2 linked regions of the Schizosaccharomyces pombe genome follow. The protein of the gene in region 1 purifies or fractionates together with the protein of each later gene. This does not show direct contact. Each region holds a gene or a part of one and is shown on either strand. Other genes may lie near its edges. The genes, in order: rgf2 and wsc1.

What was found.
Region 2: the proteins of rgf2 (region 1) and wsc1 purify together in Schizosaccharomyces pombe (affinity purification with western blotting, with the first as the bait; one study listed by BioGRID). This does not show direct contact.

Annotation. Positions count from the first base shown.
Region 1 is NC_003424.3:5,075,333-5,092,422, forward strand, and holds rgf2 (RhoGEF for Rho1 Rgf2), read left to right. Parts: upstream 1-5,385; 5' UTR 5,386-5,772; coding exon 5,773-8,275; exon of another isoform or gene 8,276-8,277; intron 8,278-8,330; coding exon 8,331-8,752; intron 8,753-8,796; coding exon 8,797-9,348; 3' UTR 9,349-9,723; downstream 9,724-17,090. Other genes in the region: protein mcp3, read right to left, coding at 1-2,662; Golgi alpha-1,6-mannosyltransferase Och1, read right to left, coding at 3,854-5,044; translation initiation factor eIF4A Tif1, read left to right, coding at 10,231-11,409; Spg1-binding protein Etd1, read left to right, coding at 12,757-13,666, 13,729-13,994; MAP kinase kinase kinase Win1, read left to right, coding at 15,109-17,090. UniProt on the Schizosaccharomyces pombe protein: Stimulates the exchange of Rho1 and Rho5 GDP-bound form into GTP-bound form. Controls septum formation, cell wall synthesis and localization of F-actin patches.
Region 2 is NC_003423.3:1,291,399-1,307,716, reverse strand, and holds wsc1 (transmembrane receptor Wsc1), read left to right. Parts: upstream 1-6,437; 5' UTR 6,438-7,101; coding exon 7,102-8,226; 3' UTR 8,227-10,041; downstream 10,042-16,318. Other genes in the region: ldb1 (LIM domain binding protein), read left to right, coding at 1,721-2,896; sqs1 (G-patch and R3H domain-containing protein), read left to right, coding at 3,689-5,776; SPOM_SPBC30B4.09 (uncharacterized protein), read left to right, coding at 10,484-10,639; SPOM_SPBC3D6.16 (uncharacterized protein), read right to left, coding at 10,457-10,695, 10,754-10,802; disulfide isomerase Pdi3, read left to right, coding at 11,835-14,015; U3 snoRNA associated protein Dip2, read right to left, coding at 14,385-16,318.

The sequences.
Region 1 (17,090 bases):
CACAAGGAATTTGTTTTTCTTCTAAGAAGATTTCCTTGTAAGCTTCAAGTTCTAAAATAACTTTTTCAAGATCTTCTTGCTTCATCTGAAGTTCATTTGCTAACATGCGTTTGGATTCGGCCAAATAAGTATACGCATTTTCCAATGAATCGTATACCATCCCCTCCTTGAAGTGCAGTTCAGGTACTACAGCATTATTCTGTAAGTCAATGTTCAATGACTCATCCTTTTGGACAACAATATTTCTCACGTCAACATTTTCTCCCAATAATTTTCTGTTTTTATCCATATCGCGCAGAGCTATGTCTGACATCTCTTTAAATACGGAAACTTTCTCACCAGATGGGGACTTAGTGATTGAGATTTTTGTGTTGTTGGAAATAGAAGATGAATCATTAAAGCTTTTGACTAATTTACTAACCCTTCCTGAGATAGAAGTATTATTTTCGCTTTCTTGCCCTAGTTGCTCAAAGTCTGAACAAGAAGGTGATCTGCAATCAGTATTTACACCGATAAGCTTATCTTCAAGTAACGACTGAAGAGTAATTTTATAATTCCTTAACTCGATTTCCTTCGTTTGGTATTCTTGATCCTTTTGTACAAACTTTTTTGTTATATAAGTCAGCTCATCAGAAAGTGTATGTTCATCAAGATCTTCAAGCTTTGTAGATGGATTAATTCCAGCTTGAGAGCATACGTTTTTGTAAACAATGAACAAAAGATTAAATATTGAAATTCCTTTTCGTACACTTTCGGAAATTTGGGATTCGGTAGCATTAGATGAATCACTTTTAGCGAACGATGGCTCGACAAGCTGTAAAAAAGAATAGAGGTGCTCTTTTTTATTAATAAATGATTGATAAGAGTTTAACAAACTGGCTAATTTGGATTCACTTAACTCCAATTGCTGCTTCAATATCTCATTCTCCTTATTCGCGGTTTCCAGGTGTGCTCTACCTTCAGAAAGTTTGGAGTTTACTGAATTTAACTCTGCATTCTTTTCAGAAATCTCACACTGTAAACTATTGTTAGTTTGACTTAAAGTCTCCAAACTGTCATGGAGCTTCTCAATAGTTAGCTCTTGATCCCTGATTTGGCTTTTTAAAAATGCAGAGCGCCCGATTTCATCGTCAAGATTTCCCTTAGTGTTTTTTAAATCCTTCTGTAATCCATCCCGTTCATCAGTCAAACTAAAGACCGTGTCAAATTGAGAGAGTTGCTCATCCTTTAGGCATTTCATTTCTTCATCAAGTCTCAAAACCTTACTTGATTCCACTTCAAGATTGTTCTTTAATTCATTAAGTTCTTCCATAAGATATTCATTTTTTCGAAATACATTCTCCATATCCTTTATTGACGACTGTATTTGTTCTTGATAAAGTAGATCCCTTTGTTCACTAACAGAAGACTGAAACTCCAATAAGCCTGCTTTTTCTCTAAGACTTTCGGAAAGTCTTGAAATTTTTAATTCTTTTGCTCGAAAATCATCATCATAATGACTAATTAATGCCTCCTTGTTGTTTAACTTTTGACGCGCTTCTTTCATCTCGGTTTCATAATTGGCGTTCATTTCTCTCAGATTTTTTTCATCATTTTTAACAGTTTCTAGAGCTTCTTGCAATGACTGATTTCTTTCTAGCAACGCTTTGATTTGATCCTGTAACTTCTCGGTTTCAAGTTTTAAATCCCTGTTTTGGGTTTGAATTTCATTAATAGAATTTTGAGCTATAGAAAGCTTTTCTTCATAACTGATAGTTTTATTTTCGGCTTGTTTCAAATTTGACGCTACTATACTTAGAGATTTCTGCAACAACTGACGCGCGGCTTCACTGTTAAACTTGTCTTCCAATGCGTTGTTATGCTTGGACACAAGGCACACATACTTGTCGTTCATAATAGAAGAATGAAGTTTGAGCTCCTCAACAAGAGAACATAAATAGGCAATTCGTTTCAGAGATGTGTCACTCCAATCACTATTCGATGACTCCATATCTTTTAGAACATCAGGTAATTCATAATCGCCAAATAAGAATTTCCATGTTTTTTCTAACGAATGGCATCGTCGTAGTTGAATTTCTGTGTTTAGTTGCCTTGCTTGAAAGGAAAAGTTTACTTGAAGCATAACATTGTGCACTTGAAGTAGTTCAGTCAAAGTAGCAAAAGATTTAAATCGAGAAAGTAATTGAGAAAATGTTTGGTTATCTAAAGAAAATTTATAAAGCGTCAAAGTGAAATTATGGCCATCAGCCAGTGAACTGAAATATTTTTTTGCATTAGTAGTAACATTTGGTAGATTTTGGCACAATAGAAGTATAAGTTTAAGCTGAACTGATTCAATCCCAACGTGTTCTTCGTTGCATATGCATTTGATAATTTTTCTACTGCAATAAAAGCAAGTATCCCGCCGAGAAACTTGTAAATCTTTCTCTTCTCTAGCGCTGGAAGCATGATAAGCATTTGGTGATTTTGTTAAAGTTACATCTGCAGTGGTTGATTGATTATTCCCTTCCGATTTAACTAAGAGTTTAAAACTGTTTAAAAGATAATAGGAAGGACTCTTTAGCTTGAAATTCAAAAGTTGACGCGCTTGAGTTGAGAGCAAAGAAACAGGAAATATCCCGTTATGCGTACGCAAATGATTTTCGTGAGTTTCTTTAGTCATTAAGTATTTAATCAAATAAGTTAGGCTTTTCTAAAATATAATTTTGAGCAAGCAATCTACCAATTGTAAGATTTATCAACGATGCTTCTAATTCGAAGATGTAAATCCTGCACTTATAGAAAAGAAATAACGGAAAAAAGAAATACTTTTAACATCAATTAGGAAAAGCATTAAACCTTCAGGTTGTAAATGCACTCAACAATCGTGTTTGTGACAGTGGGAAATGGAGGTAAATAAACACTACAATAACTTCTTATATGGGTGTTTAATGTTCTAAGGTATTCAAAGCAAGGGCGTTAGCATAGCTTTAAAAGATAATAGTAAGTTTATTCAATTATTGAAACACTTTTCAGTCTATTTATTTATAATAAAAATAATGTATAGTTGAAGCTGTAAAGTGATGAACTTTGTCGGTCCAAAGTAAACAAATATTATAGAATACAGCGCTAATACTACTAGCAAAATAAAGTCACCTTCTGAAAAAAAATGTAGTTGCAAAGAAAGAGAGACAAACCTCAAAAATTTAATGAAGAAATATGAGGTCCTTTAATCCCAAGAAGCATTCATGCAAGTCTAAAGACATAAAGTAATTACAAAGCCGAAACAGGTTTATCATTCATCTTCAAATCTTAGGCATAATCTCTGTACTACTTTGATAATTCACCTAAGTATACAGAAACGCTTTGGGGTCAATATACCATCACAAAAGAGAAAAAAATTGAAAAAGACTGATTGTGATCAGCGCAAAAGTTTTATAAAATTATTGAAAGAAACAAACAGCTTTAGAATTCAAAACAGTTTACAAGGGAAAATATTATAGTGCTGAGCTATAAAACGCGTTGATGAAAGCGCTGAAAAAAAAAAAAAAAAGAAAGTTGATCATCAGGACATAAGCATTGGCTTCATATAATTCAATAATGTCACCAATATTGCCAACTTGATTGGCTAACGTACAAAATACATGCAAAATTAATCGTAAAGAGATGTAGAATTATGAGGGAAAGATTAAATCAACCACGAAAGAAACTTTTTTGTTTGCGCAAGCTATAATTTACAAAAATTGCTCGAACACAACCCGTAACAGTTTCCAAACCAGATCAAATGCGTGTATTTAGTATTATCGAATTGCCCGGTTCGAACACTTTAAGCACATTATACCAAGAAATGACCACCCACCCACATTTCAAACGATCAATCATCTTTCCATGAACCGGCAAAGAAATGTTGAACATACGCCATCGGATCATTTGGAGACTTGCTACCCATGTGACCGACACCAGGACTAAATGCAGTTATGGGTAGGATTAAAACATCTCCAACAAGATAAGGTTCTTCTAAATTGGTGATATTCTCAACCGAGAAAGGGCCATACTGCCAATTTAAATAATCCATAATGGCATCGGTCCAAATACCTGGACCAGTCCACTCCATTACTGACTCGCCATTTTTCGAAAGCTTCTTTGAATCATGCAGCTTCCAAGTTTCATCGGTAATTCTACGAACAAGTTCCCAAAGAATTGGATGGCCTGGTGCAGCAGCTATGGTCCACTGACAGAATTGTACACGCCTGGCATAGTAGTCGTTCCAATCAGGGCGGTCGGGATCTGCTTCAATGCCAACGATCAGTCGAATATTACGCTTACGATATTCACGAGGGATCCAATTGTTTATATGCTTCAATGGTGCCGTATCAATGTCGCTATAAATACCACCTTTTGCCAATAACACTAGATACCGAAAGAAATCGGCCTTCAGAACAGGCAGAGGCATCATTGCATACGCTTGTGAAATCTTGGAAACTGATGAATCGCCAAAGCTACTGATGACCAATGCTTTAGACTGCTCATCGTCTAAAACAGCATGAGAATAACTGGGATGGTTGATTCTCCAAAACCGAGTGTACTTCATAACCTCTCTATCAAAAGGGTCCTTGGAAGTTTGCCATATTAACTTGGGAATGTCAGCGTGATAAGGCACCTCAAATTCATAAGTATCTTTAGGAACGATCATGTGTACAGCTTCATTTTCTTCGTCAAAATCTTGAAGCTGTGAAAAGGAGTACCGTAGATGAAGTTTATAATTATTTTCTTCATCAAGTTCTTCCAAGCTGTGTTCCAGCTCTTCCCTCTCCAAATCGCTCAAGTAAGCTTCCAAATCTGGATCTTCTTCTTCTTCAATGTAAGACGGTTGATCATACAAAAGTTCCTCCTCCTCCTGTTGACCAACATAATCTTTATTAGCGGCTTCCGGAGTGTAATCCTCCAACATCGAAATCTCTGTCAAATCTTCCATTCCTTCTATGCTACCATGATTGAATAACAACAGTATGGATCCCGCTATCGCAGCTCCTATTACAATACTTCTCAATCGGAGTCTCAACATGCTGAACTCGTTATATGCTAATGCTCAATGTATCAATTAATTACTTAGTTCGTTAACAAAGACTCATTAATGTGTACTTAATGCAGCTAGGATACAGATTTTGCGGTTTTTCATAGAATCGCAGCAAAACACAGGTGGGCGCTCTGGCTGAGTTTGCGCAGATGCTCTTACTTTAACTTCGCACAAGCGACCCGAAAATCGAAGGGCTTTAATGTGATATTACTCTATAATAGCAACAGCCACACTTGATTGCGGTACCGTGCGTAATATCAGTCCAAGTATTGTCGGCTGTAGTTAACGGTGTGTGTTAGGTGTATGTACACAATAACAGAAAAAGGTTACCCAAAGCACCACCCATAATATAGAAGTGTAAGCAGCGATCCACTTCAAATCCGTTCTTTTGAGTATCCAAGCTGTTTGAATAATTGGAAAGCCGGAGAATTGGCATTAATATACGTACTCCGGCTTCTCGTGTATAATAAGAGGAATTTGGTGAAGTTTCCATGTTCAAATAAGACGACTTGTCTTGTAGAACCTTTTATTGTTGAAAGTAATTGGAGCGTTAAAAAAAAAGGTACTACTTGAATTTGAAAAATATCTTTCTTCTCTTTCTGTTGTTGTGTCGGTACGGACGATTGGTATCAGAAAAGCCCCTTTGCATAGCGCCGTTTTTCTAAAACTTGCGATACCTCGAGAGGGTAGTAAAATTAGAATCAACAAACAAGAAAATGCTTCGCAATGGAGCTCAGAATGGAAATATAAACTCTGAGTCTCATGAATCGTTTGGTAAAGCAGCTAAAGGATTTCGTATTTTTTCATCATTTAGCAGTAGCCAAAAACTGTTCCAAAGAAGGAGTTCTGGCTCTATCACACATTCTCCTACCGCTTTATCATCTACCACATCCCTTAATGAAAATGATGGCAATCATTTTCGTCCTGCATCGAGCCTTAGCTTTTCTCCCTCTTCGCTATCCAGAAAAGATTCGGGTCCTGGAGATGGCTTAGAAGTTAATAAAAAAAATAATTTTTATCGCCGTTCTTCCTCCACAGATGATTTTGGCATTTCTCATGCACGTAGTAGGAAAGAAATACAATCGCTCGGTAGACCCCATACTCGCCAGTCGTTTTCCGTCTCTGATGTATCTAATGGCAGTTCTTATCCTAACATTCGAAAAAATAGCGTCCATGTTAATGCACCCATGCCATCTTTTCCTGAAGGATCAACTGCCGTCTTACTTAAGCATCACTCAGGCTCCAAGTCTGCATCTGCGATTTCGAACATCGCCCCTTCGCATTCCAATTCTACCTCATCTCGTCGCCCTTATATACATCCGGCTTTTCTTTCTCAAGTCGCCGTTGAGTTCCGAAAGCGTCTTAACATCGGTGACCGTGTGAAGGATGGTCTTCTTTATAAAGATGCCTTTCTTGGATCGGAAGCTGTCGATGTATTGATGCATATAGTTCGGACGACTGACAGGAATTTGGCGTTACTTTTAGGAAGAGCCCTGGATTCGCAAAAGATGTTTCATGACGTTACTTACTCTCATAGACTTCGCGACTCGCTCAAGGAAGTTTACCAGTACCGACGTATCATTTCTCCTCCTCCTGGTCTCTCCTCGATGGATTCCAATGGATCGTCGATCGAAAATAACTTTCTCTACACAAAAAGAAGAGCGAACACGTCTGATTCATTTGACTCTGTTTTATCTGATTCTTCTACGACACCTACCATCTCCTCGTCTGTACAGGTAAATTCTTTAGCTTTCATCACCTCATCCCTAAGCGCAATTACTAAGGAGCCTGAAGCTCCTGAAACCGAATACAATCCTCATGGAGTGTTTACTCTTTTAACGGAATGCTACTCCTCTACATGTTCTCGTAATCGCCTTTGCTATTCTATATCTTGCCCACGTCGACTAGAGCAGCAGGCCCGTCTCCATTTGAAGGTCCAACCTGTATTAAGTGGGGGATCAACTTCGATTACAGATAAACAAGAGGAAGATCATCGTTTATGGTCGGAAAATGTTCCTAAGCAAGTTGTAGACCAGATCGATGTCCGTGAATGGAAAAGACAGGAAATCATTTTTGAGGTTATTTACACAGAACGGGACTTCGTCAGAGACCTAGAGTATATACGTGACTTTTGGATTAAGCCTCTTTCAACCTCAAATGTAATACCAGAAAACAACCGACAACAATTTATACGTTGCGTTTTTCATAATATCATGCAAATCCATGCTGTCAATTCTCGTTTGTCAAATGCTCTAAACCGTACTCAAACTCTGCAACCTGTAGTTAACACAATTGGTGATCTTTTCTTAGATTATGTTCCTAAATTTGAGCCTTTTATAAAATATGGTGCCAATCAGGCTATTGCCAAGTTTGAATTTGAGCGTGAAAAAAGTACGAATAGGAATTTTGCGAATTATGTTCATGAAGTGGAAAGATTACGAGAGTCTAGAAAACTAGAACTTAATGGTTATTTGACCAAGCCTACGACTCGCCTTGCGAGGTATCCGCTACTATTAAGTGGAGTTCTTAAGTACACTGATAAAGATAATCCTGATACGGAAAACATTCCTCGTGTAATCGAAATGATTCGTGAATTTCTTACTAAGCTTAACTATGAAACAGGGAAGACTGAAAATAGACTCTCGTTGTTACAGTTAAACGAACAGCTTTCCTGCAGCCCTGCGGATCGAGCAAAATTAACATTGTTTGATCCATCTCGCTTATTGATTTTCAAAGGCGTCGTCAAGCTAAAAGCCAGTAGTTATTCGAATGGGGACACTGAAAACGACATTCACATGTTTTTACTGGACAATTTTCTCTTGTTGTGTAAGATAAAGATTCAAATGAAAAGAAGAGTTCATAAACTGCATCTCAGGCCATTACCTTTAGAATTGTTGTCGATTTCTTACATCGAAGACTCGCCATCGAGAGGTAGCCTTCCGCGTCGACCATCTTCTGCTTTGTTAACTAATCCAATTTCAATTACAAAAAGTAATCCACCTCCTGTTAAAGCATACGGTTTGCAGTTAGTATTTATTGGAGCCCGTGGTTTTTCTATAAGTCTTTATCTCAATACACTGATTGCTAGAGACCAATGGAAACAACACATTGAGAAACAGCAAGATATCATTCGAAAGCGTCATTTGGTATTTGAAAGTCGAGGCATATGTTGTCAGTCCTGGTTTACCGGCAACAAGTTATTATGTGCCGTTGCCTATGGTAAGTATAATAAACAATATGTTAAAGAAGTAAATGTTTGTTAACAGCTCTTTAGATGCGGGCCGTAAATTACTATTTGGAACTTACAAGGGACTATATATCTCTTCTCGAAAAAGTAATAATGGCAGTTGTCTTGAACCCATTTTCAAGCTGCAATTACCAAATATCTCTCAACTAGATGTAATTGAGGAACATAACGTTCTATTGCTTTTAGCCGAGAAGATTTTGTACGAGTTACCTCTGGACGCTCTTGATTCAGTAGAACAAATTAATTCAAAGTCTTTGCGACGTGTAACAGGTCATGTTAGTTTCGTCAAAACAGGTTTTTGTATGCAAAGAATTTTAGTCTGTGCGGTAAAGTCCACCGTTTTAAATACTACATTGAGGATTTATGAGGCTGATCGTGCCTTGAAGAACAAAAAGACCCAGTCTCTAAAAAAGCCTTTTGGCAATCAAGCAACTTTGAAAATATTTACTGTGAGTTACCTCGTCGTTCTTTCTCTATACTAACATTTTTTTAGGAGGTACAAATGCCGATGGAAGCTTTGTCCGTTCACTTTCTCAAGACAAAGCTTTGTGTGGGAAGTTTTAAGGGATTCGATATTATAAGTTTGGAAAATGCCGTATTCCAATCTTTGTTAAATCCTGCTGATACTTCATTTAGATTTTTAGAAAAGAGGGAAGATATTCGACCGATTGCCATGTTTCGCTTAAGAGGAGAATTTCTCCTCTGTTATTCAGATTTTGCATTCTTTGTTAATACGAATGGCTGGAAATCTAGGCAATCCTGGATGATTAATTGGGAGGGCCAACCTCAAGGTTGCGCTTTGTGTTATCCATATATCCTGGCATTTGAGCCGGACTTCATTGAAATTAGGAATGCCGAAACAGCCGAACTCGTTCAAATCATAATGGGACAAAACATTAAACTTTTAACTGATGGCCGAGGGTTAATTAGTGAAGGAGGTGAAATACTTTACAGCACTGAGCCAATTCCATTTTCATCTGGAGAAAATCCTATAGTTCATTCTTTAATACTTCCTCCAGCAAATGCAGCAGGTCCTGCACTTTAGATCGTTTATGACAGTACTGTCAACATTTGTGCGAACTTCTCCTTGAGCATTTTGGAATACTATTTACTACTCCGGACATCTTTTGCATGCCACATCAATTGATTATAATATATGCTATTACAATCTAAGCTTCAAGAATCTATGACCCTGCTTCATCTCTTTAAGGAATAACTTTAAAAATTCCTACGTACATATATTTACTATGGTTGAGATAATGCTATTGACGATTGTGTGTTTTATTAAACGAATTGTGTCTTTTTCAATTTGCTCAACATTGCACGCTGTTTTTGTTACGAATCATTCTTTTTCCATAGATTTATTATGCATTTCTTTAGTCAACTAATAAACAACCTCTCTGCATTCAGCATATTCATTCATTATCTTTTATTGTGATTGTTTAAAATACTCATGTGTAATCGATAACTTTTCATACTATTGAAGATAACATGAACAGTGTTACAATAATAAAAAATGCTTTTATATGCATTCCAAACTCCTTAACATTTTTTATGTTTTAGCATTCACCAAATATTACCACGTAAAATACACTTTTTCGCAACGAGTTGCTTATCTGTATTAAACAGCATTAACGCAGGCTTCGATAGAGTGTGCAGGAGTTTATCGCCACGTTCAGTAGGGTTTTTCTTGCTACATCATTTTTTAGAAGACATCTAAAATCTTAAAAGTAAAGTGTGTACATAAATGTTTTTATAATTTTTTTAAATAGATTTTTCAGTAAAAGTCTGTGTATTTAAAGTACTAAAATAATCAGGAATTATTACAATTTTTCAGGTGTGTGACTGTGTGTTAGAGAAAATATTTATTACAACCCTTCAACTTTTTTTCCACAACCCACTCACCTAGCTAAGCAAGATTGCTAAAATGGTAGACCAACTGGAGGATTCGGTTATTGAAACCAACTACGATGAGGTTATTGACACCTTCGACGACATGAATTTGAAGCCTGAGCTTCTCCGTGGTATTTATGCCTACGGTTTTGAGCGTCCTTCTGCCATTCAGCAAAGAGCCATTATGCCCATTTTGGGAGAGCGTGATGTCCTTGCTCAAGCTCAATCTGGTACTGGTAAGACTGCTACCTTCTCAATTTCTGTTTTGCAGAAGATTGACACTAGCTTGAAGCAATGCCAAGCTCTTATCCTTGCTCCTACCCGTGAGCTTGCTCAACAAATCCAAAAGGTTGTTGTTGCTTTAGGCGATCTCATGAATGTTGAATGCCATGCTTGTATTGGTGGTACTCTTGTTCGTGATGATATGGCTGCCTTGCAAGCTGGTGTTCACGTTGTTGTTGGTACACCAGGTCGTGTTCACGACATGATTCAACGTCGTGCTCTTCCTACCGATGCCGTCCAAATGTTTGTTCTTGATGAGGCTGATGAAATGTTGTCCCGTGGTTTCAAGGACCAAATTTACGACATTTTCCAACTTTTGCCTCCTACTGCTCAAGTTGTTCTTCTTTCTGCCACCATGCCTCAAGATGTTTTGGAAGTCACCACCAAATTTATGCGTGATCCCATTCGTATCCTTGTTAAGAAAGATGAGCTTACCTTGGAAGGTATCAAGCAATTCTATGTTGCCGTTGAAAAGGAAGAGTGGAAGCTTGACACTCTTTGCGATCTTTATGAAACCGTCACTGTTACTCAAGCCGTTATTTTCTGTAATACCCGTAGAAAGGTCGATTGGCTTACCGAGCAGCTCACTGAGCGTGATTTTACCGTCTCCTCCATGCACGGTGATATGGACCAAGCTCAACGTGATACTTTGATGCATGAGTTCCGTACTGGTTCTTCTCGTATTCTTATCACCACCGATCTTCTTGCTCGTGGTATCGATGTCCAACAAGTCTCCTTGGTTATCAACTATGACTTACCTGCTAACAGAGAAAACTACATTCACCGTATTGGTCGTGGTGGTCGTTTCGGTCGTAAGGGTGTTTCCATTAACTTTGTTACCAACGACGATGTTCGCATGATGCGTGAGATTGAACAATTCTACAATACACACATTGAGGAAATGCCTATGAACATTGCTGACTTGATTTAAAAAATACAAAAGTCCTTTCTTCTCTTTGTTCTAGATATGGAACGCTCCGTGATTGCTCTTCTCGCAACCCGGCAAACCTCCCGCAACTTAATTTATCTGCTTTTCTTTGCCCATGTTTTTAATGCTTCTTTTATCTGTGCCGGTTGATAGCTGCTCACCATATGGTTTTTTGTGAGTCGTGTTAGTGTTTGCTGAGAAAGGATTTTTTTTTTCGGCTACGCTGTTTATTCATTAGGTCACAAAATAAAAGGCTGGATTTGGTTGATTTACATATATTTACTCTTCTTTTGAGCCTCGTGTAGCTGTTCTGTGATTACTTTTATAAATGTGTTGTAGTTTGGTTAGAAGGTTTGTCGTTTTTTTGTTTTTTGGTAAAACTAAATGAGTGAATAGAGGATGTCAATCTGTATTTTGGATTGAACTTTTATTTACTGCGTATACCTTTGTGGAATTAATTTTTTTGCTCAGAGCTAACGTATTTGTGTTAACCGTAACTGTCCAGTCGTACTTTTGTAAGGAATTAGGAAGTTCCTTTTGCTAAAAGTTAAATGGTCTGTAGTAATAAACAATTCTGCTAGGTAAAAGTTATTATTAATCATTGATCCATTAACCTATTATATTCGCTATGTTTATATTAACTGTGAGATTAAAGGTTGCATCACTTTACGCTCTCAAAAACGTAGCTTTAAACTGCAAACATTATTTGACTAGTTTTAAAGAGTTTGACTTTTAAGTCAATGTAATGAAAGAAAAGAAGAAAACAATGTTTTCCCTGCATCAACAGAGTTAGTTGAAGAGTTTATCGTAAGCAAGTAAAGAAAGTTGAAAGGCGTATAGCAACTTTTGATGCTAACATTGTGCTCATGAACGAGCAGTGGCTTTGAATCTTTGTAGAGTCATTCATCTTTTCAGTTTTTGGCTAACTTATTTATTTTAAGTTGAACATTTTTAATGAATAAAACTTGTAATAGACAGTCTTTTCCATTTCCTAGTCTATCTCTGCTAGCATTCCATCTTTACAAAGCCCTATTTAACGTAACCACGATTAACGCGTTATAAAGTATTTATCAGAATTATATAGCGCTTAAACAACATAACGAATTGCGTTCTTTGATGTTATAGAACTTTGTATTTCCTTATAAATCATTTACAGATTCATGTTCAAAATTCGTTATGTCGTTCTCATGACGACCGTTTGTTTACTAACAAAAGCGTGGTCTTGACGAAAGTGCCTTCTACCATTATTTACACACTTGAATGGGTTGACGCGTACAGTCTTTTCTCTACGGCAATAATTCTTTCTTTAATTTAGCTTAAGAGAAATATAGATTTACGAGTATTTCGTCAATGGGAGTTGTATACGGCAGTCAACAAAATTTAAGTGAATATTTCTATTCTTCTGTCAATATGGCAGAGGTTCCAGATACTTTCGAAGAGAATAGGGGTCATTCTTTTGAAGGTGTGACTCTACAACGAAGGCATGTGAAAGGCATGAAAAGTTATGGTTCAGATATTACACCGAGGCGCCCTAAACAGCTTGGATTACCGAAAGAAGTTAACACCTCCGAATGCATAGATCAAGGCTCATGGAGGAAACCCTCAGCATTTGAAAGCTTAAGAAGTTACTCCCGAAAATTTTCTAAACGAATTTTTTCATTCATAGGAGTTGAGTCAAAAAGTACTGTACAACGCAACGCTTCAGGTGCAGACAGTACGTCGTTGTCTCACTTTACGGCGAATGAGATAAACAAAGGCAACTGTAAAAAAACTGCGTTAAGTAATGAATTTAATTCGGCCAATAAAGGGAGCAAGGCTAGTGGTGTAGGTGCTGAACTACCTTCAGTTAATGGATTTATTGAAGGTGAGCTTCATGATGATAATGAGACAGATTCCTTTCGGATAAATGAATTAGCTAAGCAAATCCAAGAAACTTCTTTGGGTGCGACTACGCAAGAAGATGAGAGTTCGGATGGTATTTGCTGGGACGAGTTATCGACTACTTCGCCAGAGTCGTCGAAAGTGTCGGAACCTATCATTCAAGACAATACGCAAACGACTCATATAAATAACGATTCATCGGATATTCGATTTTCATCTCGTTGCGATTTATTTGCGGACGATGCGGATTCAGATTGGGAGCAGGACTTTAATGTGAAATTCGATAGTCCATTGATAATTCCCGAAACGGTAAACAGTGCAGGACACACCGTTCGAGAACAGCTTTTTGAGGTGAAGGAATTTACGAGATCCATCAAAGGTAAGACATTCATGTGTTGTAATGCTTTAGTTTTAACCGCTGCTAACTAAAAACACAAATAGACTTAAAAGATCTTTACGAAAAGGCAAATTCCAAAGATATTTACGACAAGGACTCAGAGATTTTAGGAGAGGCTAAGGCTATTCTACGGTTAGCGGATCCTGCAAATTATTCTGATTTAAAGGATGAGGACGCGCAAAACATTTTATCAAAATATAAAGTTAAGTTGGAAGGGGATTCTTCATTAGATTTCGATGCGTCCATGCTACCAGGGCTAAACGATCATGTGCATTATTTAATGTCCCAACTCCAACTATTATTACACTGAGTTTCTCTTTTTGGCTATTTAATCCATTAATGGAATGGGAAGTATCTATTTTGTTATCCAAAGTGTCAAAATTTCGCTTAGGATAATTTCAATAATTGTGAGAACAGTTTCGCATTGGTGGATAGCAAGTAAAGGTGAAACTGGCCATTACAACCTTTTTATACTTCTGCATCTTAAGAAGCTTTTGGTTTTATTGTAAATTTCTTTCGTTTTCTCTTTTTAATAAATCTATTTTGCAATAATATTTCGGAAAAAGTACTAGACAGATGTTTTGTCTTTTGTGAATATTAGTCCAACCTTTATTCTGTGATAAAAAGATTTTATTAAATTAAAGTAAAAGAATGTAAATCAAAAATACCTGAAAACCCATATCTATGATTTTGCTATTTAGTGAGAAATTCCTCATTGCACTGAAAATCCTTAAAACTAGTACCCCACTTCATACTATACTACGGGGTTAGACCACAATTAGTTGTTTATCCTTTGCACACCGCAAACCTATAAATTTTCTTTTTGTCAATTCCACATATTCTACAAGGAGGATTGACTTTTTAGTTCACTGATTATTGCTCTTTCAACAATTTATACGCGGTAGTTTTACTGCTCTTCGGCTCGTATAATTTTTTTACACAACACTTTTATCGATTTTTTAAGCCGAATTTCTACATTTAATATTTTATCATTTTTTTCTGCTCATTAATATTTACCGTATCTTTTCGAAAACCCATTGCTTTGGATGTGTGTGTGTGTCTCTCTCTCTACGTTCCTCAATTTGACTGCATTACTTTAATATACTTACAACCTGAATTCTGTTCGGTTGGTAATTCCTGCAATCGTTATTTGTCTTTGTCAACTTCGGATTTTTTATTTTTACATATAACAGTAGTTGCATTGACTTCGCTGCACAATTCCTTACACTGAGTTGGCATTCCTTGCATCTGTAAACCACTTTTTCATTACCCACTCCCATTTTTGACTTCAGTAAACAATTATTCTACTACTACTTGCCACTATTCCAAACTTATCTGTTTCCCGTTTTGGGTTTAAATTTGGGTATAACGGTCTTTTTTATACATAACTTCTGAAGCAATTCGAAATTTGTTCCTCAACAAACATGGAAAATATTTTGGATCCTTCTGTGGTCAATTCACATATACTAGAAAATGGCTCAAGGCGATCTTCTATCAATCCAATTCTTGATAGTGAATTGCGTGATAAAACATTTGAAAAGGCTCATCGTCGCTCTTTGACTTTACTTTCAAGTTTTACCTCGTCTATGCTTGAACTTCCTAACAACGGAAAAGAAGAAAATCACAGAAGGCCATCTGTTGCGCGTAGCTCAAGTGATAGATCCAAGGCGAGCGCCAAAGAGGACTTATTTTCAGAAGCTTTCAGAATGGCTGAACAGCCTCCAGCCGAGGCCCTTACTATTTCTACCCCTGTTGACCCAATCAATATTGATGAATTAGATCGTGCTTATGCCGTAAGTCCAAGCGATACTAGTAATCTACTACATCCTCCTACTTCTTCCTCTTCCATTCCTATACCAATTAAGAATGCTGGTCATTCAAACCTCGATCATCCTATCCGACCTAGTCTGCAAAGTAGTATTAGCTCAAATAGGATAATAAAGTCTCCCGGTATTAAGGAAGACGATTATATGCACAGAGGACGTTCTATTTCGTCGCCAATGATTGATGTTGAACACATAAATTCAACAGCAGTTCCAAGCAAAACTAAAAATTTGCCAGAAAAGCCCAAGCGTTCTCACAAACTAAGAAATTCTATAACATTTGCTAAAATTGAAGATCATCCTGAGAGGAAATCTCAATTAAGACGACTGAGTAGTTCGTTAAAGTGTTTTGACCCAGAATATGATTATAACGATCCTTCTCTAAGCATTCGTCGTGATAGTTCAACTTATTACTTTTCTAATGTTAATGAAACTTATGATGAGGAGGACTCGGATTTAGATTCTGAGACTTCAACTGTAAATTGGGTACAATCTGTTCTGAATCTCCCATCCTTACTTTCTGATGATTTAATGGCTAACCCAAAAAACAAAGAACGTTTTGAATGGCAATATATGTTGACTTCAGTTCTGACTGGTGATATAGTCCGATCTGAAAAATTACGGCTAAGAAAGATTGCTTCTTCTCGAGAAGGGCGAAATAGTGATTATTCTGATAATTTGTGGATGGAAATATGGTGTTGGCTTACTCATCGTTCCGTTGATTCTTATAGAGAAAATTTAAAACATCTTCGTACGGGTATGGTTGATGTGCTACTGGCCATTATGAATTTTCATTGGGATGAGAGCAACGAATTAACCCCTATTGTTGCTGTCGATAACATGCTGCAAAAACTTGATAAATATGAACGTTTATATCCTTCACGTCGTTCTATCCTTCAGGAACATTCATTATATGCTTCAGAATCTTTTCAGCACAAGTTGGATGTCTTGACGGCTTATTCTAATGTCACTCATGCGCTAGAAATTCAAGTTAACATTATTCGCTCGTGGGTTGGTAATGAGGAAATGGACATTACCAAAAATACTACAAATTCTATTAATAACGTTTCTCAAATTTCAAACGGACCATTTGTGGAGCGCTTTTATAGAGAAACCGGTTTGATTCGAGCTTTTGAGCAAAGAATCATGACTAATATGAATAGCGTATTAAGCAAAGTTTGTAATACGATTGTTACATATGCGGATGATTTAAAAAGTTATGGCTTGCCGCTTATTGCTGATGATTACATGCGTCTTCTTTCTTTTCCGTTTAGGTTAATCAAAGAGTTCCTAAATCTTCGCTTATCATGTGCAGAAAATATTACCTCAATTTCTTTATTTACGATTGACTCTTTACTAGATGACCTTCGGAACACTATGAAAGTTGCCGTCCATATCATTCAACAACACACTGTTCTAATCAAACCTTTTCGTGATGATAGCAAATTTGTTGATGAAAACCAGTCCTTAAACAATATTTTAGTTGCCTCATTGAAATTTTACTTCAATTTATTACATCGTAAGGTTCGCAATGGCTGTGCCTTGCTGCATTTCAAAGAAACCGAAATTTTAGAAGGAGAATG
Region 2 (16,318 bases), on another chromosome or scaffold:
TTTGATGTGGCTCCTTCAGACTCATGGAAGTAGAACGTTGGCTTATGAAGGCGTCTGATCGGTATATATACCTTTTAAAACCCTAACCCTGCTTCATCCTCAAATTTCTGGAAGGATGTGAGTGGTTGGGGAAGAAGTGTGTAGCAACCGTTGACATCGCTTGTGTCCAAATATGCACTTTTGCGCATTACGGTGGTGAGGTTTGCAGTACGGTATATGGACAGAACGTTTTAGAAAGTAGCAAGTTGGAGTAATGTAACAAACTATAACAAAACAACTCTACAACACTTTTAAATTCGATATGTGTTTATAACATATTAAAACGCGAAAAATGGAAGTACATTAAATAGGACAGCGAGATTTTTATTTTTCTTTATTCATCGTTATATGTTTTCTTTTCACAACCAAGAACACACTTTACAGTTCTCATCTAGAAAATCATGTGTTGAGTAATCTATTAAAAATTTCACAACTCTTCGACACAAAATTTTTTTATACCTAAAAAATCAATGATAAATGACCGTAAAAGAATTACCTGCTTTTCCTTTTCTTTGAAACTAACTCTCGTTTCATATAGTCAATTTTGTTACCTCGTTACACTCACGTGCTATAGTGAGAAATATTTAAAGTAAGTAAATAAAACAGCTAGAGAAACATTAATGGAGTAGTAATTTTCGAAAAACGATATAGAAATTAGACCAAAGAATGAATTAGTAATCAATTTTAGTTCTAAAAAAAACCATATTAATTGTAATCAGTATTATCAAGAAATACTAACTGTGCTGTTGTTCTGTATAACGAAAAAATTTTGATGAATGATTTCTCTTGCAATATCGCATTCATTGCTTTTTTTCAAAATAAAGTAATTCGAGATACATCAACTATATCAAATCTTTCCTGAAATCAAGCCTTTTTTACTTAATTTATAAACATTACACTATGCGACACCATTTAAAAAATTTTTTTTGGTTGATTTCGAGGTATACAAACACAAAACTTAATACCGATGCAAAATTTTTATTTCAACAATATTTAGTAAGGGCAATGATTTTGATGATCTTCAAATTCAAGAACTAATCATCAAATAAGTAATAATGTATAGAGACACTGAAAATAAATTACCGATTTTGTGATCTGTAAACTACGATTGCTTGTATACATTCGGAAAGGAACCTTACAACATATTAAAATAATCAAACCAAGACATTCCTAAATCTTTTTAAATATTATTTTCTATTTATTAATCTGCTGACTCTTACTTTGCAAGTTATCTTGACATACTCTCACATACATTTTTCATTCTTTTTAATATATCGAATTGAAAGGTGGTGTTTAAAACAAAATAAGAGAACATTGATAAAGGGCATACGGAAAACTGGCGTTGATCTCATTAATATTGATACTCGAAATCAGTGTAAAAAATGGGAACAAGGTAAATTACGAAGGAATTTTTTATTCTATATTTTAATTTGTAAAATGTTAATTTATATCACAAATTCAGGCGTTTGAAAGATGCTATCTTCACCCAAATACAAGCCGTTTGTAATAACACAGCGCATCACATTTTCTAAATGTCTTTAACGTAGCGTGCCAATCTCTAATTCACTTAAAGGGTTAACCATGCATGGCGGGCTCCGGCCGTTAATGTTTCACAAGCGCTTTGCACTTTGAACAAATCCAATTCTGCAGCGCTGGTGGCTTTCTTGTAAATTTCGCAGCTATGGTTGCAAACTATGCGTCCATGATGTATCATAATGGCTCGAATATACTAGGATACGGTGTTTTGCGATTATTACAATATAATGAACAGTTAATGTCAGGATGGGAAAGTACCATGAAAGATGATATTGGGTATTGGAGACGATTTGTGCATGATTTTTATACTGAAAAGGGAACATTTCGCTATAACATCGACTACAAAGATTCGCCAAACCAGGAGCCGAAATTGTTTGAATTATCGTATGCAGCACTTCCGCGCTTCTTATATCTGAGTTATTGCGGCAAACTTAAAAAGATGTCGTTCCTTTTGGGAAATACAAAGGAATTTGCCATTCCAAACAATGGGTATTTTGTGGAATCGTCAAGGGCAAGCATTTTATATCAGTATCAAGGCGGTGTACAGGTAATTGTATCGGGGCACTTGCGGGCTCATTTCTTTCGTGCTCCTTTGTTAAAATTAGACTCTTTAGAGTTTTCAGCTGTCGGACATTCCGAGTATCTTTTGCGCGAGTTAATGACAAACGCTTCCCTAGCCCTTTCGCAGTCGCGGCCTCCTCAAAATCAAATACAACACGATGGGGTAAAAAGTGAGGATCCGTCATCCGAAAGTGTAAATATTAACTCATCTTCTTCTCTTTTGCCGGATTCACCCGTCAACGAATATGGATTGGAACCGCACATCATGCGGTTCATGGAAATTACTGAAACAATTTCGGGAATGCGCGATCTCATAGCCTTCACTCTTGCTCAGCGATCGGGTCCGACTAGCGCTTTACATAAATTTGCTACAGCTTTACAACAACAGCATCAAATGCAAAAGTCTACTTCCTCTAATATTCCATATGCAAATCCAGCCCCCTCGGGGTTTAATGGCTCGCCTAGGAATGGTGATGTTGCTAGTCTTGCCTCTAATTATCGTTATGCCAAGCAACCTCCCACTATGCCTGCTAATGCAATTAGTCAAGCTAATCGTCTTTTGGACCAAAATAATATCCCCAATATGGATCCATCAATTCTTCCTCAATCCATGCCGATTGCCTCTGTTCCGCCCTATAGTCTTCAGGGGATTAAACGCCAAGGTACCCATTCCCCAATGGTTGAAGGTGAAAATCCCAACAATAATCCTAACTTCTATTCTTCTGATATGCTGAACGCTCAAAAACGTACCAAGGTATAGCTGTTTTTTTGTATTTAATATTCGGTTCGCTCGCTACTTATACATATATCTGCACTCACTGTTATTTTTCGTTGTCTAAGTTTGAAATTCTTAAGAAAAATTTCTATTACTTTCTTTTTTTTGAGCGTATTACATTATTTATTCCTTTTTCTGAATACACTTTTGTGTATGTGTTCAACTTCAAATTCCTTACCGTTCTCATCATATGCAGAATTTGTCATCTCGTTCCCTATTCGACGCTTCTCTTTTATACTTTTAAAATAAAAAGGAATTTTTTTCATTATAAAGTAATTCTATGTATTTTTACATTGCTCCCTGTTTCAAGAACAAATCGTTTCCCCTGTCGTTGCTCTCGAGGGACGTAAAAGAAACTGCATTAGTATAGCGTTCTATATTCTAACATTCTATTTCTTGCACTATTTACATTATAGTTATTTGGCTGTTTTATATGTTTTATACAAAAATTTATAACTTATAATTACATGATGAGCTACTGTCGGTTAATTCATATTCAACTTTGAGTCGGTCAATGTATGAATCTCCTCAACTTCAGTTTAAATAGACGTGTATACTTGAAATTAATAGTTAAATTGTAAATTGAATATTTAGAAATTTGTATTTAATACCGTGGCAAAATCGTTTAGTGTACTATATGAAGCACTTTCCCCCAAGACTCCATCCTACTACCACCATTTGGTTTACGCACCTCACAATTTAGGATTTCACCATCATTATTTATTAAAACAATTATATATTATTTTTTTTATCATATTTTTTGACTTGTATCCCTCAATGTCAAATTTTGATGATCTACAGATTTTAGATCAGTTACAAACTTCTGCCAGGTTTCGTGGTGATACACGAATCCGAAGATTTAAGGGATCCAATAATTCTAAAAGCCCTTTTGGTTTAAACCCTAGTAGTCGAATTTCACAATGGCCCCGAATTACCTTTATACGTGCTAAGGACAATTACAACCCGGCGGAAGAATTGTGTCAATTAATCGATGAACAAAATGCCCACAATGAAGCTAAGCACCAAAGCAAAGAGATTATGCTTCCCAAGGAAACCAACGTTAAGTCCTGCGAAGATTTATCAAAAACCGGTGAAATAAAGGCGTTGGACATTGTGTTATTTAAAGCAATTACTTCGAAAGGTGATACATTGAAAGTAAAGAAAATTCCGGAATATGCGGAAGCGTTTGATACCACCAAGAATGTAGAAGTTTCAAGTTTTCCTGAGAAAAGCATGAACGAAAATGTTTTGATTCAGCATTCTTTAAATCTTGCACCAAGTGATAAGGAAATTTCATCTACAGAAGAAAGTGAGCAGTTGTGTTACAAAGAACAAGAATCTGAGAAGGAGTTATATTCTAAAGATAATGATGACTCTTTAGACATACTAAATGTTCCAAACTTGGTCAATGATGATATTGCTAACAATAACGCTGCACCTCCACCGCCTTTGGCTCAGGCACAGGAGCAGTTGAGTACCGAAAATGAAGACGAGTTTGATATTGATGACACCACCGATAAAATGACTACGTTTACTATGAACAAGTTTGCCGACCTCTCCGTTTTAGAAGAAGATGATGATGATGAGGACGAAGATGAAGAGCTAGAAGGAGAGAAAGAAGAGGAGGAAGAGGAGAAAGAAAAACCTGAAATATCAAATTACGATGAGACAGAGGGTAAAGTAAATTTTTCACTTGAAGATTCGGAATCTTTAGAATTTGATGAGGGATCAGATGACTATGATTATGCTAAGTTAACGACGGAACTTGTGGGAAATACAGATTCATTAGCCGAAGATGAAGATGATATTTTGGAAGAAGATGAAGATGAAGATGAAGAAGAGCTTTTGGCAATTTTTGATGCTAGTGATGATTCCGAGATTGAGGCATACCTTAGTATTGGAGATACTTTGCAAAATGATTTTACTATTTATGATTATGACAGTGAGGATGAAGAGTACAATAACCCCTCAACTCAAAAAACGGAAAAAGTTTCTCAAAGCAAAAAAGGGGCGAAGGTAAAAGAAGAAAAAGGTTTGAAAAAAGATCGCAAACTTCCTAAAAAAATGCGTAAAGCTCAAAAGAAATTAGAGAGAAAGGCAGGAAAGGCTGTGGCCGCTAGAATGGGAGATGCCTTTTCCAATTCTTTGGACGATGAGAGCATGAACTTGTACGCTGAATTGCAAGAACAATGGCTTAAAGATAAAAGCAAAAAGGCAAGAAGACGAGCGGAAAGGGAGAAACTCCGCTCTGAGGGGCTACTTGGAAAGAAAAGCAAAAAGAAACTTTTGCGCGAAAGCCAGAAGCCGTCTTCTTCCGATTCTGACAATGCTAGTCTTACACGAATTGATAAGATATTTATAAATGATGTTTATCAACGGATGCAACAGTTTAAGCACTCGGCCATTGAAGAAATTTCCCTTCCTCCATGCAGAAAATATGTTCGTCGATTGGTTCATGCGCTTGCCAACGATTTGAACTTGAAGTCGAGAAGTTATGGATCTGGAAACAAGCGGTATACTATGCTTTCCAAAACTCATAAATTTGATGCATCTAGTGTGGATTTGGTTTCACTTACCAGGATTATGGAGCGTTTACAGACCAGGGTTGAGTATCAGTCATTTTCCAAATCTGGTAGGAAATCTCGAATGACTGTTTCCTCTGTGAGGTCGAGTAAAGCCACACGTGTATATGATGGCCAAATTGTTGGAGAAGATGCCCCTGAAATTAGCAAAGAAAATCCAGGTCGTCGGTTGCTCGAAAAGTTAGGATGGTATGCAGGTAAAGGACTTGGTCATCCCGAAAATGAAGGTTCCAAAGATAGTTTACGTGCTATTGTTAAAGTTAGCAGAAGTGGTTTAGGTTAGAAAACCAGGGTGACTGGTCAAACCGAGAAACTAATCAGCTGTGTCTTATTTACTTGAGATAATACTCCAATTTATATATATATATATATAAATATATACTATTCTAGGTTAAGCATCATATTCAAATTAGCGATTTGTACATATTGATGTGAAGTAAAAAATTAACCGTGGGTACTTCGACATGGTGTCTTTCCATTCAAGAGATAAACCGGAAATCCAGAAAGATAACTATCTTTTATTTTAAGATATAAACTTCATTTAAATAGACAGAATAATTATTCTCACTACAGGAGCAATTGAATATGTAAGTTGCTGCTATGGGCATACTGCAGCTAAAGAAGTTCTACAAAACGGTGATATCGCAGTGTACAGAGTTATTATTGCTATTTAAAGAAGATAATCGTAAAATCAGTTAGCGTTTAATATATAACACGTGTAATACAGTATAAGGAGTTATGTAAAGTAACGTTTAGGTCATTTTAACAGGCAATATCGGTCAATAGTGATACCCAACATCGCACTATTCGCAGTTTCAACCAAGTATCAATCGGAGCCTTTTTCATTCGTTAAATAGTATAAGGCAAAAATACCGTTTCGGTAAGGGTCAATAGTGTTCGCCTAGGTTCGACTGACTTCAGCCTTTATGGGGCCCGTCGGAGCTAACTTTTCCACTTAACAACTAATCGAATTCTTAAGTGTTTTTTGACGACAATCTGTCAAACACTGTATCCTTATTAAGGAACTAGTGTATTGTTTAAAGTAAAGGAGTTTTCAAGCCTGGGAAGCTCGAAGAAACGATTCAAACGGAAGCTCTGTGGATAGCCAAGTTCGGTACGGGTTTGTACTTTCGTCCCCGAGTATTTTGTTGAACTTCAGGAATTCGCGTTCTTTTTTAATTCTGAATTAATCTTTACTCTTTACTTTTTATTCGTTCTTTTTTTAAATTCTGTTTTTAATTTCGGAACAAACGAAGTTGGATATTGAGTACTTTTCACCAACTGCTCGGTCTTAATAATTCTTGATTTTGCGTTGCTGAGCCTTTATCCTTTATTGTTTTCTTTTTCATGTTGATAAAGAAGTGATTTTGCAACAATTATTTTCTTCATTGGCATTTGAATTTTTACGCTCTTTATTTTATTTACCCAATCTTTCTTTTCTTTCATTCGGTTTGCGCCTTTTGATAATATTTCTCTTAACTGGTCCAATAATTTGTTTTCTCTTTAGTCTATAGACAAAACAACTTAATTTACTGAGGGCAAAATTTTTATTACCAAATTTAAGTTTTAATTTTCATTCCTATTATACTTACGCACGATTTAATTTCCATGGTCTTTTTAAATTCCTCTCCCTTTAAGGGGAGGTTACTATTTTTTGTTTACCTTTTGATAATTTCTACTCGGTTGGTGGCGGCTGACATGAACACTCAATATGGCTGTTATCTCGTGGATAGTAGCTTAACTGAACAAGGCACGTTTACCTATCTTGATCCAGCGTATTGCTATAACAACATTTGTGGTGGATCTGATAATATAGCATTTGTAGCTATCCGTAATAATCAATGTTATTGCGGTAGTACACTTACTGCTACAGAAGTTTCAAGTTCTCTTTGCACAACGCCTTGTCCAGGTTATGGTTCTCTTATGTGTGGTGGTGATCTGTACTGGTCGGTTTATCTGACTGGCAATGGGGTTTTGCAAACCACGGTTTCTAGCTCGTCAGTGTCGTCTACGACCTCTTCGTCTTCATCATCATCTCCAAGCTCATCTTCAACTACAACAACAACATCTCCTTCTTCTTCTTCTTCTTCTTCGTCTTCGTCGTCTTCCTCTTCTTCTTCGTCTTCTTCTTCTTCTTCTTCCTCATCTTCCTCTTCCTCTTCCTCTTCCTCTTCGTCTTCGTCTTCTTCGTCTTCTTCCAGCTCTTCGTCTTCTAGTTCTTCCTCTTCCGTACCAATAACGTCTTCCACCAGTTCTTCTCATTCTTCTTCATCTTCAAGCTCATCTTCCTCTTCATCTTCTAGTCGGCCATCTTCGTCTTCGTCGTTTATCACGACCATGTCCTCATCTACTTTTATTTCTACTGTCACAGTAACACCAAGCAGTTCCTCTTCTTCAACCAGTAGTGAAGTTCCAAGCAGTACGGCTGCCCTCGCTCTAAATGCAAGCAAGGCGTCAAACCATACGTCCTTGAATGCAGGTGCTATTGTGGGTATTGTTATCGGTTGTGTGGCATTCGCCGTGGTAATGGCATTGTGCATTTTCCTATACTTCTATTTCAGGAGATTCAAAATTAGAATGAGCGACTCGGCAAATGAAGGAAAATATCCCTCCTATGCTAGTGAATTAGATTCTCGCTTGGATCCTGCCATGATGAATCGCAAATCAAGTGAATCTTTGGCTGACAGTCAGGATTATTCGAGAAAGATATTGCGTGTCACAAATTTGAACTAAAACAACATTTTTCTTTTTTACTTTATTTAAATTCAACCAAAAAATTATTTCTTCTTTATGGTGTTTATGACTTTCATAATCGTATGCTACAAATCTTTTGCATATGATCGGAAAAGTGATCATTTTGGTAACGATAAAAAGTTCTTTATGGTCGGTTCTCTGTTGGCATAATCTTATTTATTTATTTTCCCTTATTTTATTCGTTCTTTACTTTTTCTTCTTCTCTTTATCTTTCTTTCGGGAAACTGGATTTGTTTTCAATATGTGTTAAACCGTTGCAGTGTTAGTGACAAATCAGTTTCATATTTTTTTCTTATTCATTTTCGCTTTATCTTTATTTTCTATAACCGTCAATTATGAATTGATGAAATTGGGACTTGGGAAAGAAAGCAAAGTTGGCTTGATTTATCGGCTAAACCTTGATTTTTTTTTTAAATTTAATAAGATAATTTGGAAAGGCTAAACTCCTATGCAATAGTTGTTTTGGCAAAACTGGTTTTATTTCTTTCTTTATTTTTTTCCTTTTCTTTTCTCGTTGTCTTACTTCTTTTTGTTGTTATCTAATTGGTTGTTTTTGTGTCTTTGACGCTATTGTCTAGTAGCGATCTTTTGTACATTTGTCTACCCTTTCTCAATATGATGAACACGCTAAGTTTTCTCTTTTCTTTATTTTCCTGGTCGATTGGTGTTTGATCTTCACAAAACCACTTTTCACCTGGTCTACATCTTAATTTGTTTAGATCTTGGCGCTACCTAATTTGTGCACGTTATGGTTTTTTTCTTTTTACTTTATTTTTATTTACTTCTCCTTTCTTTATCTTCTTTTTTTATCCTTTCTCTTGTTCTTTTTTTGTTTTTGTTGTCCCTTTTTCATGCTATTTAGTGGACAGGTGTATATGTATTGGATATCTATGTATCGTATATATATACCGTTTGCTTACCTGTTATATACACGTGTGCTTGGTGTGTCAGGTTCATTTATGCAATGTATGGATAAATTAAATGATGGTTCTTTTTTGTATAATATTGTGTAACACCAACTTGATCTTAGCACGGGAGATACTTGCGGTTATTATTTTCCTTTATAAGTTTCAACAAGTCAAGTACGTCTTTGGTTTTTCTAGTTTCCTATTTCTTTTACTCTTCCAAAACCATTAGGGAGAAGGGAACAGGAAATAAGGAAACAAGAGGAAAAAAATTGACAGAGAAAGAGAAAAGTTTAACGGACGACTATTAACCAACAAGTTATAAGCATAAAGTATCCAAAGTCGTATGCAAGCGTAATTTGCACTTCAAATGTCAGTCTCAGTGTCAATTATGCAAATGCGTGCCATCTCACCATTCATTCATTGTGTTGTGATACGCTGTGGTTTATATGCAGCTCCCCCCTTTATTCCCTCCTTTCTTTTGATTTACTATTCATCAATGGCCCATTGAGGACCTTAACTTGAAGACGAAGCTAAGAAAACAAGGATAAAACGAAAAGAAAAGGCTGCTGTTAAAAGTCCTGTTTTTTTATAGAAGAATTTGGGTTGTTACCGAATCATTAAAAATGTTCCTTTTCTTTTCTTGACAGTTAGATCGTCTCATGATATTGTTGTTGTACTTTTTAGTTAAATTCCACTTAATTATTTAAACATATAATCCAAATTCAATCCATCCCATTTTTTATTTATACGTTCACAATCACTTAACGCTTTGATTTGAAAGTGGTTTAGTGTAAATCGTTGCACCACCTAATCATTGTTTACTACATTCTTGTTAGAATTTGAATAAAATTTTTTCCGTCTTTTCGCAAGCGTAAATAAACAGGGATTCGCAGCTGCGTCATTTATTGACGAATTTCCCTATTGTGTGACGTGTAGTAGTTCAGCCTTCCCCCCACACGTATTTACACCCACATATATATAAAAAGAGAGAGATTTCCACTTCTCTGTACACTTACCTACTGCCTTTATCCTTAGATCTTAAGTAGGCAGCATTATAACTCATTGCGGAACAGCTTTGTAGTAGCTTTTCATAAATCCAATTCCTTTAATTATTCATAAGACCAATTTTTGGTTAATTTTCTTGTTCGCTAAGAACTACCTTAATTGTGGACCCCGTTGAATCAACCTTCTTTTTATATTGATCAACGAACGAGCAATTCGATTAGGACTAGCATATCCTTGGTTTTCTTGCGTGTTCAATTACTAAAAACCCTGTTTTCTGTTTGTTAATATATATTTTTTTACTCTCCCTCTCTTAGGTATACAGGATGGCCCAGACGTTTCAGGAGAAACAACAGAGTCGAAGGATTAAAATGAGCACTGGAAACTTTTTTTCTAGAATGTGGAATGCCGTCGTGTTCGGCTTCGGTGCGGCCATTGGTGCCTCTGTCGCCAATGCAGCTCTTGGAGCCTGCTGCGGTTAAAAGGGAGGTGGGAATGGAGCGAGGAAGCCATTCTTCTTTATAAATAATTTGCTCCCTTTGTCCTCCTTATTAGTTTATTGGAGGACGTTTACTAGATGATTACTTTTTAATTACGAAACGACTTATTTATATAATCGGTACATGTTTTCCTTCCTGTTCGCATTCATGCATGTTCCTCGTGAAGTTCATTTTATTATGATGATTATTGCTCTCACGTTTGTCTTTTATTGATTTCCTTAAATTTATTTATTCGTTTTTTTTCTTTGATCTTTTTCACTTTAGCGAGTGGGCCCTTTGTCTTTAATTGAAATTCTTCAGGTATTGGCCAATAAGCATTTGCTTAATTCACCTTTTACTTTTTGTATCGAAAATTCAGTAGGTAGGTGGATTTACATGGTAACTAGATGGGTTGGATGTTTGTGATGAGTTAGTGGTTGGATTTGTATTTTAAAGGATGTAGGTAATATCAGTATAGCGTTAGCGACTGTATGGTTTGAATGCAACTTTCATAGACGGACTTTTAAAAAGTCTTATCGAATTACAAAAGAATGTATAAGCGAGGTTCGCTTCAGCTGAAGTGAGCTTGAATACGCTAACAATTTTGTGATGTACTAATGACCGCAACGAGAAGTAATATGAATGCAAGTTAGCAACATTCAAATCAACATATTATTAGCAGTAAATACTTCAAAGTGAATATTGGTGCATTCCCATTAAGCTTATTGTTTTGTAGTTGGTGTTCGTGATAATTCCTGGTTCCTTAAGATTTTCGTCCTCGACTCGATGGTGCTGGTTTTTCCGATGAATTTCTTAAATTTAGTACATCTTTACTGTAAATTAAAAAATTTTATTCCGTGCGTCTTTCAACTCATTTCATTAAAAAAAGAAATTTCAGACAAAGAGTATTTTCTACATTCTTATATCAAGTTTCTTAATATAGTTATTTTTATGGTATTATATTTTATAATAATACCACGTATTTATTGTAATATTAAGGTATTTCGCCGCATTGATTTCATTCATTTAGTAACAAAGAGCATGTGCTTACCTTACCAAGAACCAAATATTACGTTAACACGAACTCACTGAAGAAGAAAATTCTTTAACAATCTTGTAGTGATACAAGTTCACTTATTTAAAAGTTATAGATATACAATACAGTAGAAACGTGAAGTTTGGCTTTTTACATCAAACAATGCGGTCAAACACCTTTGGTTCTGTAATGCGTATTTCGTGGGTTGTAGCCTTTATAACGATGGTTCAAACCCTCGTTTCGGGAGTTCCACTTACTGACAATGATTTGGAGTCGGAAGTCTCGAAGGGAACTTGGTTTATAAAGTATTATTTGCCAAGCTGTGGTGCCTGTAAAAGATTGGGCCCAATGTGGGATAACATGGTTGAGAAGGCAAAAGAACAAGTTGAAGGCTCTAACTTTCACTTTGGTGAAGTTGATTGCTCCAAAGAGCTTTCTTCTTGCGCGAATATTCGTGCTGTTCCCACTCTCTATCTATATCAGAATGGTGAAATCGTCGAAGAAGTTCCTTTTGGCGCTTCCACCAGCGAGGCTTCTTTATTAGACTTTGTAGAGACCCATTTGAACCCTGATACTGATCCTGATATCCCATCCGATGAGGATGTGTTGACAGACGAAGATACAGAAGAAGTCGCCTCTATCCAACCCGCTCTCTCCACTTCCGTCTCTTCTCTTTCATTAGCTTCTACTGCCATGTCCAAAAGTGCATCTGCTTCTGAATTTAGTGGCTCGAGCGTTACTAAGGCTTCCAAAAAGCTTACATCTTCTCCTACTTCTGTGGCATCAAAAAAAGCCACCCTCAGCAGCGTATCTAAGGTTGCTTCTACCTCCTCTCTTCCTGTCACCTCCGTATCCGCCTCCGTAGATCCCAAATCCGCAGCTTCCAAGGTTCAGGACGCTGAATTTTCGATCCAGACCGCTCCAAGCTTTCCTAAGGAGAAGGAAGAAAAGGAAAACACTGAAGAAACTGAGGAATCGAAAAAGTCCATCAACCCAACAGGTACTTCCAAAGCCCTAGCACTTGATGCTGATATTGATGCTGCGTTGACCGATAAGGAAGGTTGGTTTATCCAATTTTATTCTTCCGAATGCGATGATTGCGACGACGTCTCCACTGCTTGGTATGCCATGGCTAACCGTATGCGTGGTAAACTTAATGTCGCACATATTAACTGTGCTGTTTCAAAACGTGCTTGCAAGCAATACAGTATTCAATACTTCCCAACATTCCTTTTCTTTAAGGAAGAAGCTTTTGTGGAGTATGTCGGACTTCCCAATGAGGGTGATTTAGTTAGCTTTGCAGAGGAAGCTGCAAACTTTGAGATTCGCGAGGTAGAACTACTGGATACTGTTAACGCCGAAAAGAACGGTGATGTCTTTTTCTTGTACTTTTACGATGACGATAGTGCCGAATATTTGAATATCATTCGTAAAACTGGAATCCAGCTTTTAGGACATGCTAACTTGTATCTTACTACCTCACAGCAAATTGCCAAGAAATATCGCGTTGTTTCCTTCCCCAAGCTCATTGTTGTTCGTGATGGCATAGCTAGTTATTATCCGGCTAAAATGGCACAGGACAACAAGGACTATAGAAGAATACTTGGTTGGATGAAAAACAATTGGCTTCCTGTTCTTCCTGAACTTCGTACATCCAATTCCAAAGAAATTTTCAACGATGAAAGTGTCGTGCTGTTCTTGTTAAATCCTGAGTTAGATGACTTTGATGAAACTAAGCGTACTGCTCAAAAGATTGCTACCGAATTTTTAGATGAAGAAGGCCGTACTTACCAGTCAAACTGGCAAAAAGAAACTGACAAAAAGAACTCTTTAGTAAACGAGGCTGAAGAGAAAAATGACTTAGAGGCAATAGAAGCTGCAAAGAATTTTCATGTAAATGGCAAGCCATCTCCTACTAGATTTGCATGGGTGAATGGTAAATTCTGGGCTCAGTGGTTGCGTAAGTTTGACATTGATATTGAAGCAACTGGGCCACGTGTGATTGTGTATAATGCTGCTCAAGATATTTATTGGGATGAAACCGCTAAGGGAACTCCTATTTCTATTGAAAAGGATACTGTATTTGACATTATTAAGCAGGTTGAAACCGATCCCGACCATTTGAAATTTAAAATTCTAAAGAAGAATCTTGGTGTCGAATATTTGGAATCATATGGATTGAATATTCGTGTTCTGTATATGGTCTTGGGGATTGTTACCGTTGGAATATTAGTGTGGTACTTTAGCGGAAGAAGAGCTAGAACTCTTCAACGTCGTAGACATTCCACCCCAATCCTTCCTGTTTCTATGAGAAGCACTGGAAACAGTGGAAAGTTTGATTAAATCTGTTTATCTTTTACCTCTCACTTCATCGTTCATCATCTCCGATTAAATAATTTATTGGTTTTATGCGTCATTTACTGTGATATCGTTAATTACTAGGAAATATGCCATAAATGTTGCTTCTATTCCGTTTCGTTGATCATTGAAAAGTTTTTTCAGTCCAATTTTACTTTATGAATTAAAGTTGATTATATTCAATTAGTTACGTTACTTACTTCGTAAAAGGAAATGAGTTTTAATAGAATTCTTCTAGCATTAAAAGCATATTTCAAATATTATAATAAAACATTTTTATTTACCACCAAAAATCCCAATTTAATACAAAATAAACTTCTCTATCCAAATATTTTTACCCAAGGATTAAGAACTTTAAACAATGTTGGAAAAGGCTCGTTTCTTTCCATCCACTTCTAAGGAAGTACTATCAATATCTTCTAATGAAGTATTATGAGTAAGCTCCCATTCATGTCTTAAATAAGAAAGACCAGCAGCATTGTAGCCGATGAGAGAACGCTCCTCCTGTAGTGACCCCCTCAAACTACTACGAATATTGTTTAGTAATGGACGCATTTTAACTGTAGTTGTCAACTGTCGGTGATACGTTCTGAGTAAAAAAAAGATTATACGAGAAACGAGAGGAATTGACCATTTTCTACTAGCCCAAATATCAATAAATCGAAAAAGGGATAAGACGTGCTCAAAAGGAAGCACGAGAAGAGCGTCATCTAAGTGGCTACTACGAATTTTTTTGAAAGTATTCAAAACGTACTCCTCAGCTGAAACACCTAAATGGGCTAATATCGGATTTCTCGGTCCACGGGCTTTACCAGGGCTCTTAAGCAGATCAAGTCTGTACTGAATTTCTTGATCCAAATCCTCTATACCTATTGTAATAGCTTCTAAGATCTTTTCTCCGTCTTTTAAGCTTTCAATTGTTTGCTTCGTGACAGCTGCCACGTCTCCGTCTTTAACCTCTCCGTCGGCTTCAGCATTTTCATAAGATGAAACAAGCGTTGACTCATATTGCTCCTCAAGCTCACGTTCCCGTTCTTCTTCTAGAAATACCAAATCGTCACCTTGTTCCCATAAACGTATTGAATGGTCATGGGAGCCAGAAACAACAAAAGTTGGACCAACAGCTAATGCCCAGACTTCAGAGTGATGACCGCGAAGTTTTAAAATTAGATCAAATGATTTACCGTCCCAATAACGAACTTCTCGATCTTTTGAACAAGTAAAAAAGTTGTAAGTATCTGGTTGAAATGTGACTTCCATAATAGAATCTTGATGTGCAAATATAGACTTGTGGCAATCGCCAAAATCAAGACCCCATATTTTGACATTCTTGTCGGCACTGCAAGTAACCAGCAACTTTGAGTCATAAGAAATATCCATAGAGAGAACTGGAAGCTTATGACCATAAAGATTTAAAAAGAATTTCAACGAATCCAAATAGTATACCTTGACGGTATTATCTAATAGTGAAGCAGCAACGAAACGACCATCAGGTGAAATTTTAACCGCAAGGACATCGTCTGTGAAATCTATTTGTCGTGTTTGCTCTAATTTCAACGTGGTGACTTTTCTAGTGGTACCTGGTACGAAATCAAAAGACGATTTTAGAGACCAGAGTTTGACTGTGTGATCGGCAGAGGCAGTCGCGAAGTAAGTGCCATCGTGACCAACCGCTAAATCCCAAATCGCGCCATCGTGAGCTTGGATACGTTCGATAAGAGAAGAGCTAGCAATGTCATAGACTTCAAGTTCTCCTGATTTGTAAGCGGATACGATACACTTGTCGTTATTTATAAAGCTAGCAGCAAGTACATAACCACATTCGATTGTACGGATACAAGATGTGGTTTTCTTGTTCCAAAGCTTCAAAGAGCCGTTAGCACCGCTTAAAATCACATCGTGATTAGCGGACAAAGCCAAGGTACGAACGTCAGCACGATGACCAGGAATTTCAATGGCACTTATACGCGAAGCCCGTTCAGTTAATGGTGCAGCAGAACCTTCAGATTTGACATCCAAAGCGTAAACTTCAATTGAGTTATTTTGAAGAGATGTTACCAACGTAGGTGTACGATTTCCTGGTATCCAAGCTACAGACGAAGCACGAGCAGTGGTTCGAATTAGAGCAAAAGGTTCATATTCGTCTTTTAACGTGATCGAAACGTCCTCAGACTTTTTACGACGGCGTCGTCGATTCAGAATCTTTTCGAGCTCCGCACTTGATCGAAGGCGAAAAACCTCCAGAAGACGGTCATGAGCTTGGAATACAACATAACGGTTTGAAACGT